Oryzias latipes: one gene and its partners. The protein of the gene in region 2 binds, or shares a complex with, the protein of the main gene of each other region. Links are inferred from orthologs where the notes say so. Each region holds a gene or a part of one and is shown on either strand. Other genes may lie near its edges. The genes, in order: eif2b4, eif2s1 and eif2b1.

Region 1 (2,656 bases), about 7.9 Mb from region 2:
AACTCCAACTACAACGGACCTGTTACACAACTGTGGAGTCACAGAGAAACCTAAATGAATTAATAATGCATGTTAGGTAAATTCTTTGCACTCCTTGATCTTAGGTTTTTGTCTTGGATTGTCCAATTGGGATTAGACTTTTAACCTTCATTTATTAATTTTTTACATTTTGTTAAAGTTAAAAAGCTGCAGCGTTTGCACTTGTGCTCAGTTTGTCCAGAAAACAAATACTCCCTTGTGGGAGTCAGTATTGCTTTATGTAAAATATCTTTGGAAATTGTATGTAATTCTTCTGATGTAAGAAAATAAACTGACTGGTTTCTATGTTTGACCTTTGACTTGTGTCATTAAAATAGTTTAAACTGTCATCACAAAAAAACTTTACAGCTGGAATCACATGCTAACATGATTTACAACTTTGAGATCTTTAGATTAAAAAAAAAAGTTGAGGATCTATTATTTAACTAGCATTAAAGAGATGTTAAAAAATAAAACCCTTTCATAAAAACACACATGACACAGTTTAAAAAAAAAAAAACTTTTGCCATTTCAGGTATATTTTATTGCATGCTAAAAGCACGATATTGTGAAATTGTCTTCAAATCTGCACACAAACTGATGGTAGGTGAGGGCCGTTCACTGGTCCACGTTTTTGACCCGCAGCACCACCGGGACGGAGGTGCACGGGATCATTCCTAGGTCTGTGATGACGAGGTCCACAAAGTCGGGGGGCGTCACGTCGTACACTAAGTTCAGCAGGCCCAGGGAGGCCACTTGCTGCCAGCCTGCCAGCTGTGTCTTACCTTTGCGGGTCACAATGAGGTCATCGGGGTCATCTGGAAAGAAGAGCTGATGGTTAACTGGCCGCTACGCACAGCAGAAGCTGAAAGGATCGAATGACCCTTTGACAGTAAAAAAGTGATCAGTGGTGTCCGTACCGAGTTCATTGGACACAAAAGAATCTGTCTGCACCCTCTCACAGAATTTGTATGTCTCACAACACACTAGCACAGGCACGTTAAAGGCTTTAGCCACCAGAGCTATCTGTGATGTCCCCACTCGCGACATGACGTATCCGTTGGCCAAGAGAGCGTGAGCCCCAAGGAAAACCTTTGATACCTAAAAGAGGAAACAAAAAAAGTCATTTTTACATTCTAGTTAGTCTCTGGACAAGGAGAAACACTTCATAAAGTGACAATATTGAGTTTTTGTTGCCGTTATGGCTTCCTGATTACCTCTGGAAGAATGTAAGAGACGGCCGAGATGAGAACGTAGGTGCAGCTGATGCCTTTCTGGACCAGGCGCCTCAGGGCCTCCCTGCCCTCCAGCCGAGGCCTGCTGTCCACCACTATAACGCGGAACTTCCTCTGTTTATCATAGGCCTCGCATAGGATGTGGTTGACCAGGGATGAGCTGACAGAGGGATCAGACGCACAATTAACAAAACCTAGATGCTCCAATGCTAGAGAAAAATGGAATCTAGAGTGTTGCAGATTAGTGGTCCCCAACCCAAAGGCTGCTGACACTGACCAGTCTGTGGGACAGCTGGTACCACTCTCTACATATTTGCGGTTTTATTTATACTCTGATTCTGAAGGAAGTTTTCTTTTGAAAAACTGCTGGATTCTCTCCCCCACATGACTTTTTTTTTTTGAGCCATGAAAATATATCTGTCAAGTCAGCTGCTCAGACCAATAATTTGAAACTCCTAAGCTAACAAAGTTAACAAAAATAAGAAACATATTTGGAAAGATTCTTTTAGCAGAAAAGAGCCGGTGAGAAATCTGTTTTTCACACTGGCTGTTTGACTTTAAAGAAAAACTAAATCTGCATTTAACAGACAAAAAAAGGGTAGTTTTCTAGAAATATGAATTTATTATGACAGTTGTTCCCACACACCATAATAATGATGAAGAATAATCAGAAACTGCCTGTCTAATAGTACAAAGTTGCTCAAATGGGGGATTCACGTTTATAATTACTTTAGGAAAATACCCGTTTAAGTAATACTTTAGTAAACCCAACTTTTTCATTTCCACTTAAGACAGTTTTAGGTTCAAGGAAAATCTGTATCACATTGGTTCTTCCATGACATCTCGTGTGCACATAATAATTAAACCGACTGGGGATATTTCACAGAGGATGAAGATACACTTTACCCTCAAAAGTTGAGGGAAACTAGAAGCCAAAATAATTTGACCCCCACTTATTGCCTGACATTAAACCGGTCATCTGCCTAAAAAAGGTTGGAGCCCACTGTTACAGACAACCCCAAAAATAGCAATGTTGAACACCTTACCATCCATAAACTAGAATGACGTCCCCATCACTGATCTTTTCAATGGAAGAGTGAGCGATAGCTGTAGCAGCAAGAATGATCTTCTCTTTTATGTACCACTCAATACTGGTGAGCAGTTTGTTTTTTGCCTGAAAAGAACATCTATGATTAGAAATGCTGTGTCACCGAACCTTCAGCACAATAAATTAACGTGTGAACTCAATGTTTTAAACAAACCTCTTCTTCTTTGCACTGGCTGGGAATATTAGAAATCTCCTTCTTGATGTATTTGATGGCGTTACCCATGCTGGCCGACAGGGGGCGACACTGATTCAAAAAACTAGATAAAACACATGATTTTGTTAAATAAAAAATCAA
Region 2 (4,301 bases):
AGCTTCCTTTCATGCTAAGAGTAAATGTTAAAGTGCAACAGACCTTTCAGCAAATATTCAAAACATTGAATCAAAATAGTTTCTATACACAGATTGTTCAGAATCATTCTAAATAGCAAACATTTGCAAAATTAATAACATTTCTAATCCTATTTCTGGGCATTTGTTTAAACATTTAAGTAGCAGGTTGTTTTGTTTTTTGTTTTGAAAAACATTAAAGTTAAACTAAATGACGTCTTATTGTGGTATTTTGCGGTTATAAAAATACAAGTTCATCATTAATTTTTTTAAAATAACAAATTAAGTGACAGTTTGACTAAGTGTACTTAAAATTATTGCAAGCTGCGGTTAAATTCCACATTTTTAGACAAAAATTGATCTTATAGTTGACTGGGAATTGCATACTGACAGCCTCAAATGAAAAGTTTCCTTTCACATTTTGAGTCTAATTACATTTCTTGTTCATGTTTTGTGTTATCTTGTGCACAACAAAAAGTGAACGTTTCAAAATAAAAGTCTCTCACCTCCATCTGGATGTTGAAGACGCCCCTCTTCTCCTCGATCTTTTCCTTGATGGCAGCCATGGCCTGGTTCAGGACAGACAGACCTTCTGTGCGCTCCAAGGTGGTGGTCGTCATCACGTAGCGAGGAGGAGCGATCAGGTTGATCTACGACAACAAGACCACAATAAAAGTTTGGTTGAACAACCTAAACAGTTTTCAGAGAACATTTTAAAAAACAAGTCGCAGTTTGTGGCTCGCCTTGATGGGCATGGCTTCTGTGGAGCAGCCGAGACCGGCTCTCAGAGCTTCCTTCACCGCATCGATGCCCTCATACCCGTAACACGCCACCTCGATGTCTACGACAAAGACGCAGAGTCATTAAGATGTTCTCCTGTTGTCGAACAGGAATGACCAAAAAGAACAAACCTGCTCTGATTTTGACGGCCTGTGGAGTGAGTCGCCTGTTGATGTTATCGATCAGAACGGCTCTCTCCTCTTCTGTTAAGTCTAGGCCATCCAGAATGGCAGGATCTCTGGAGGAAAAAGCTGAAAACTTATACAAAGGTTAAGTATTTATATATTTGTGACTTTTCTGTTTGGACTTACGACACAGCCTGCTTGAAGACGTCATAAGCTCCATAACCGGGCCGCTTGTACTTCTCATCAAACACCCAGGCTGTGCGCTGGTACAAGCTCTCGAGCTGCTCATCCTTGGTATACTCCAGCACTTCTGCCACATGTCGCAGAATGCTGTACACCTGCAAACACAAGACAGTCTACTCAGCATGAAAACAAAGGTTTCATAAAGAAAAAAACAAAAACATACAGTTTTAGATTTGGTAAATTTATCTTCACACTTGATGGCCTCCTCTGGAGAAACTCTTCTTTTTGATAAATCAATATATCCTGGAAAAAAAAGAAGAAAATGAACATAAGAAAGGAATTTGAAAACAGTAAAAAAGGCATTCACTTGCAAAGATTTACCCCTCATTATGAAGACATTCAGCAACACTCACCCTTTTCTTTATCTACTCGGATGACAACAACGCACTCGTTGCGACCTATGCGGATGAGCTTGTTGATGGAGCGGATACGCCGACGGGACAACTCGCTCAGGAGGATCATGCCCTCAATGTTGTTGTACTCCAAAAGGCTGACGTACGCGCCCATCTCTGCGATGGAACGCACGTTCACCATCACAACATCCTCCACCTCTGGAAACCGGTGCTGATAAAATCGACAGCTGAGCCCCGGCATCACTGTCGAAAAACATCAAAAATCAAAACCGTGTTCAAATCTAACACATCTTATGCTAAAAAGAAACATTTTCATTTCATTGTTCAGCATAAATTCATTCTTATTTATTTTCTAGTCAAAGTTTGAAGAATGTTAACAGAATGGTGAGCTCATTTGGGTTTTTGTGATATAAAGCCAGATTGAGATGGATTTAAAATGAGGTACGGTAAACATATAAAAAGGAGTACTGAGGTTATAATAGCTAAGATAGAAGTTTATAGGAAAACTACTAAGAAAAATACTGACTGGATTGCATGAAAGTGGATTTTTAGCTCTGGTAAACACAGCAAAAAGAAAAACCATCTGTTTGGGATGAACATTTAAATGGACCAATCAATATGTATCTACTTTTTAATCAGTCATATCAAGAACTTGTCAATTTAGTTTGAATTGCCTAAAAATTTGAATTTCTACCACCATAAAGTAGAATCTAAGATCCTGTAATTTCCTCTAGGAAGTGAAACGATCTATTCTTCCATAACACATAATGCTATATTGTTAAAATATATCTAGTAATGTTCTAATAAGGCTTTAAATATCCATTATTTTCGTTGTTTCATATTTTAATAAAAATGATGCAATGCGGACAAACAAGCACGAACAGAACCAAAACAAGGCATTTATCAAACGAGTAAAAGGTCACTTTGACTACTTGAAAGTGCCTATCTATGCGCAATCAATCACAAAGAGTTACGATATTTATTTAAACACAAAAGGATTGACTTAATGCGTGCTAGCTGCCTGGCTAACCACCGGGTTCACGTGTGGCGCGTGCAATGTAGCTGCGGCTAACTGCTAGCCAGCTAGCTGTGACTACCGCCTGTTTTAACGCTAAACATCGAACTTCTTTTCTGTCAATAACAACTCACCTGTGTCGTGGGCTTACAGAACTACACACTTGAATGTTATGTGCTCTAAATATTGGTTCCCTCTACTTCTTTCAGCTAATTATTTGAGGCCGTTAGCTCGCATTCATAGGTGGACTAGCTGCTCGACCCGGAAAAGATCTTGAGCGCTTATCGCTTCGCGCATGTGCAGTGCGAGCTTGGGGCAGTCACATGACCAGAGGCCAGCTGATCATCACGGACGAACAAGATCACGGCAGTTACCTTAGTCTTTCAACTAATCCCGAATGAAGACGGTTGTTTGTTTGTCTGTTTAGCACATTTTTATACAACGCCCCGTTTTCAGATCGTATCCTGCAAAAGCCGAGAAGATGTCTGGAAAAGAAAGGATCGACGTTTTCCCGTCCAGGATGTAAGCACCTTGTTTTTCTTGCTAGTTGCTAACTCACTTAGCTTAACTACATTATTTCATTGATTCATTGGGTTTTTAGCTGATTATCGGTTATTTGTTTGTGATTGATTCTTACATAAACGTGTTTCTCACGTATGGTTTCGACTTTTCGTGCTGTCTGGACGCTAAAGAGGAAGGAGCCGCCTTGTGTGTCATGTGATGCTTCCAACATCTTGCGTTGGTCACTCACAGGTTTTTCTGTCTGAAGAAACCTGTTCCAGTGCAAATGTTGCTTTAGCTCATACAAGGGGACTCAAATTCGTGTTAAATTAGATAGTTGTTTTTGAGATTAACAAATACCGAGAATTTGGTTGCATTTCAAATTTAGAGCTTGGCGACTCTTTTCCAGACCAAAAAAAACGTTAAATTTGTGTGTTTGCCCTTCTGTCAGAGTTCTAATAACATACCTACATGACATCAGAGCAGAGGTTTGCAACCTGAGGTCCCTGAGCCACAAGCAGCTCATTTATTCTTCCATTTTGGCTCTTTGGCTTTGAAAAAGCAGGCAGATGTCATAAGGTTTAATGTGTCAGAGCAGTTTTTTTTTTAGAATAAGTGTAAAGCACATATTCTTATCTTCAGATGCACAATATTGTTTTCTTGCTGTTTAGTGACAAAGTTCTTATAATTGCAAGTAAAGGTGATGCAGCAGGAGGAGCGTATTTGACACTCACATGTATTTTATTTTGAAAGGATCGCGTACGTTAAACGTTAGTTATTTACAAAAAAGATCTTAACACTGTTATTATTCAATCCTTATAAATATATAAAAGCTACATTTCATAAATGAATGGCTCAACAATCACACAAAATGTATATATATATATTTTTATCAGTAATGCAAAACTTAAAAAAAAAAACCTTTAAAAAAAAAAAGGTGCGGTGATGCCCTACTTTTTCTGCTAGTCCTGTGTTCAGACTTCAAGGGTTTCTATGGGAAACCTTTTATCACTCTTGTCCTTCTCTCCTCTTTGAGAAGCATGCAGCACGTGCACACTCTATCTACACACAAACACGTGCGCTGTTTCAGAAACACACACACATCCTCATTCTACAATAGAAGTTTCTGTCTTGCCAGGAAATACGACAAATTTACTGCGTTCTAATTATTCCTTTCCATTACAAGCTGCGTGCGTTCTTGAGTGCGTGACACGGCGCCCGCCGGAAGATTTTGTTTGTGTGTATGTTTGTGTGTGTGTGTGTGTG
Region 3 (2,817 bases), on a different chromosome or scaffold from region 2:
TCACAGTTTTATGACCATTTTAAAAATTGTTTGACCTTTTTTACCTTTAATTTTACAACTTTGTTCTCCAAATGTTCCGAACTTCTTTTTTTTTTCTGTATTTTTTTGTGTGGCGCTTTGAACCTGGATGGTCGTTTCCTGCTGCCTGTGGTGGCACTGGCGTTCTGCGGTGGCGCTGGCGTTCTGCGGTGGCGCTGGCGTTCTGCGGTGGCGCTGGTGTTCTGCGGTGGCGCTGGTGTTCTGCGGTGGCGCTGGTCTCTGGCTGAAACGGCTGTTTTCTCGTTGGTCCTCAGGATTTGTCCCGCTGTAAAAAGGTGATGGAGGAGAGAGGAGAGCTCTTTCTGGAGAAGATCTCCATGTCCAGGAATAAAGTGGCCAAGCTGTGTCACACCTTCATCAAAGACGGCGCCGTGAGTTCCCGCCGCTCCCTCTTGGCGCTCGCCGTCCTGCCGCTCTCTCATTCTTCTGCTGATGATCCTCAGAAAATCCTGACCCACTCCTTCTCCCGAGTGGTGCTGCGGGTTCTGGAGAAAGCCGCCATGGAGAAGAAGCGTTTCTCCGTCTACGTGACCGAGTCTCAGCCCGACGCCGCCGGGTGAGTGTGCACGCGCGTGCGCACGTTTTTGTGCTGCAGAGACAGCCTCACTTCCTCCTCTTCCTCTCAGGCAGCAGATGGCGGCGGAGCTGGCGAAGCTCCACGTCCCGGTGACCGTGGTCCTGGACGCCGCTGTGGGGTGAAGCCTGCTCGGTTACAGACGTTTTTTCCCATCATGCACCGCGTCCTCCTCAATGCTCTGCTGTTCTCAGGTACGTCCTGGAGAAGGTGGATCTGGTCATCGTTGGAGCAGAGGGGGTGGTGGAGAGCGGCGGCATCATCAACAAGGTGAGGCGTGGAAGGGGCGGAGTCTCTGAGGTGGGTTTGGACCTAAACTGCAAACCTATTCAGACTGTGGAGTTCAGAAACAGTGAACATGTGGTTCGCTCTTCGACTGCAGGCGGACGGGCGGAAACTCCTCCGTCACCGTCTGATGAATCCTGAACTGGCGTGTTTTTAACCGCATGTGGAGCTGCGTTAGAAACACGCCTGAAAAGTTTCTTTAGTCGCCAAAATCGTCCTAGAGAAACAGCTAAACTCAAAGTGTTCTTTGGTCAGTGCATCCTTCATTCAGATATTTATAACTAAAACATAAAAATAAAGACGTGTCATTAGTTTACAGTGACTCAAAGAGACAACTTAAAGTTTTTTATTGTTTCTGTTAAAAGGAAATCTGACAATACTCAGATCTAAAAAGTACCAACAATGATGGAAATGCCTGGACAGCTGGGTGAATAAATCAAGCGTACCTTTGCAGGTAAAGGGTTCAGTTAACCCTTGTGCTATCCTAGGCACTTTAACGTTGGGAGTTGGGTCATCTAGACCCACTAGACAGTGGGGTCATCTAGACCCACTAGACAGTGCTCTGAACCTTTTTTCTTCAATGATTGGTGATCTTCTCTGGTGTCCATGGATTACATGAAATCTTTCCACCTTTATCCACCTTTGTCATGGTAGGGAGAACACGTCAAAGTAAGGGTGGGGTCATCTAAGATAGCACAAGGGGTAAAGGTTTTGTTTCATCAAACGAGCTTTATGGGAAAAATAGATTCAGACTTTTTCAGAATCAGTTAAAAAATCTTTTTATTCAAATTATTTTGATAGAAAACAGCAGATTTAATCATTGTTTTATCAGATACCAGTTTAGTTTTGAGAATGGAGACTCTTTTCAGTCAGACGGGACGTGGTGGCGGGACGTTTGCCCTCAATGACCTCGGCGCGTCTGTCCTTTCAGATCGGGACCTATCAGATGGCGCTCTGCTCCAAAGCTCACAACAAGCCCTTCTACGTGGTGGCGGAGAGCTTTAAGTTTGTGCGGCTGTACCCGCTGAACCAGCAGGACGTCCCGGACAAGTTCAAGGTCAGACCTCCTCTGACGGCGTTCCTGGATGGGCGAGCCCCGCCCTCACGTCTGTTTCTGCTCCGCAGTACAAAGCCGACACCCTGAAGAAGAGGCAGAACCTGTCGGAGGAGCACCCCGTCATCGACTACACGCCCCCCTCCCTCATCACCCTCCTGTTCACGGACCTGGGCGTCCTCACGCCGTCCGCCGTCAGCGACGAACTCATCAAATTATATCTATAAATGTCAATAAAGCGGTTCAGAGAGGGGCCTCTGCGTCCCGTTTGCTCTTCGGCCCGTCGGTCAGCTGCTGCTCGAAGTCTTCCTCACTGATCCGGCCTTTCTTCAGCTTCTTCAGGAGGCGCGTGTCGTTCAGGAGCTCCAGCGCCTCCTCCTCATCATCATTGCCCTGCAGAGAAGGAGGAGCTTAAACCGTCGGTCCTCGCAGAGACGGCCTCCAGCCGTCAGCGCTCACCTCTTCGTGCTTCCTCTTCACTGCCCTCCTCTTCCTCCGCTCCTTCTTGCTCTTCTGTTTGGACCAGGCTTTGTTCTTGGCGAAGTTCTTCTTGGGCGGCGCCGGCCCGTCTCGGTCCTTCTGCTCTGCCAGCGTCTTCTGCCTCTGCTTCTCCCTGTTCTTGTCCTTGTACGGGATGGCGTCCGTGTCCACCGCCGCCTCAGGGAAATCTGGGAAGGTCTTCCCCCTCAGCTCCGGCATCTTCGGGAGCCGGAGGAGCCCGAAGCCGCGCGCCAAGGCGGCGAAGTCCAGATCTGTCCAGATCAGAACCAAAAGGTTACAGGTTTGTCCCGCCGCTGCCACCATTTCAATACCATTTCCTGCGTCACCTTTGACCCTGAAGATGAGGCTGCACTCGTGTTTGGCG

What was found.
Region 1: the proteins of eif2s1 (region 2) and eif2b4 are in contact, whole or in part, in a cryo-EM structure (PDB 6O81), measured with the Homo sapiens proteins. The link is inferred for Oryzias latipes from reciprocal best matches to the Homo sapiens genes EIF2S1 and EIF2B4. Residues at the interface, in NP_004085.1 of Homo sapiens: Met30, Tyr33, Met45, Arg55, Arg57, Arg75, Glu79, Lys80, Tyr82; in NP_001029288.1 of Homo sapiens: Asn245, Glu246, Glu247, Arg250, Thr285, Ser520, Ser521, Asp522.
Region 3: the proteins of eif2s1 (region 2) and eif2b1 are in contact, whole or in part, in a cryo-EM structure (PDB 6K72), measured with the Homo sapiens proteins. The link is inferred for Oryzias latipes from reciprocal best matches to the Homo sapiens genes EIF2S1 and EIF2B1. Residues at the interface, in NP_004085.1 of Homo sapiens: Ala28, Glu29, Met30, Tyr33, Gly44, Met45, Leu47, Leu48, Arg75, Lys80, Tyr82, Ile83, Asp84, Arg88; in NP_001405.1 of Homo sapiens: Gly39, Thr41, Ile42, Gln43, Gly44, Leu45, Arg46, Ala47, Asn48, Glu70, Arg74, Ser77, Ser80, Leu81, Glu82, Tyr83, Ser84, Asp85, Tyr86, Cys89, Leu305.

What each region holds. Positions count from the first base shown.
Region 1 is NC_019882.2:13,754,045-13,756,700, reverse strand, and holds the end of eif2b4 (translation initiation factor eIF-2B subunit delta), read right to left. Parts: intron 2,619-2,656; coding exon 2,516-2,618; intron 2,428-2,515; coding exon 2,300-2,427; intron 1,414-2,299; coding exon 1,236-1,413; intron 1,120-1,235; coding exon 939-1,119; intron 837-938; coding exon 637-836; 3' UTR 530-636; downstream 1-529. UniProt on the Homo sapiens protein: Acts as a component of the translation initiation factor 2B (eIF2B) complex, which catalyzes the exchange of GDP for GTP on eukaryotic initiation factor 2 (eIF2) gamma subunit.
Region 2 is NC_019882.2:5,867,226-5,871,526, reverse strand, and holds the start of eif2s1 (eukaryotic translation initiation factor 2 subunit 1), read right to left. Parts: upstream 2,847-4,301; 5' UTR 2,669-2,846; intron 1,763-2,668; 5' UTR 1,761-1,762; coding exon 1,520-1,760; intron 1,410-1,519; coding exon 1,330-1,409; intron 1,262-1,329; coding exon 1,110-1,261; intron 1,037-1,109; coding exon 930-1,036; intron 860-929; coding exon 762-859; intron 669-761; coding exon 525-668; intron 1-524. Other genes in the region: atp6v1d (V-type proton ATPase subunit D), read left to right, coding at 3,016-3,056. UniProt on the Homo sapiens protein: Member of the eIF2 complex that functions in the early steps of protein synthesis by forming a ternary complex with GTP and initiator tRNA. This complex binds to a 40S ribosomal subunit, followed by mRNA binding to form a 43S pre-initiation complex (43S PIC).
Region 3 is NC_019870.2:1,222,514-1,225,330, forward strand, and holds the end of eif2b1 (translation initiation factor eIF-2B subunit alpha), read left to right. Parts: intron 1-293; coding exon 294-410; intron 411-482; coding exon 483-595; intron 596-665; coding exon 666-734; intron 735-807; coding exon 808-883; intron 884-1,661; exon of another isoform or gene 1,662-1,829; coding exon 1,830-1,955; exon of another isoform or gene 1,956-2,023; coding exon 2,024-2,179; 3' UTR 2,180-2,195; downstream 2,196-2,817. Other genes in the region: ATP-dependent RNA helicase DDX55, read right to left, coding at 2,196-2,345, 2,412-2,704, 2,780-2,817.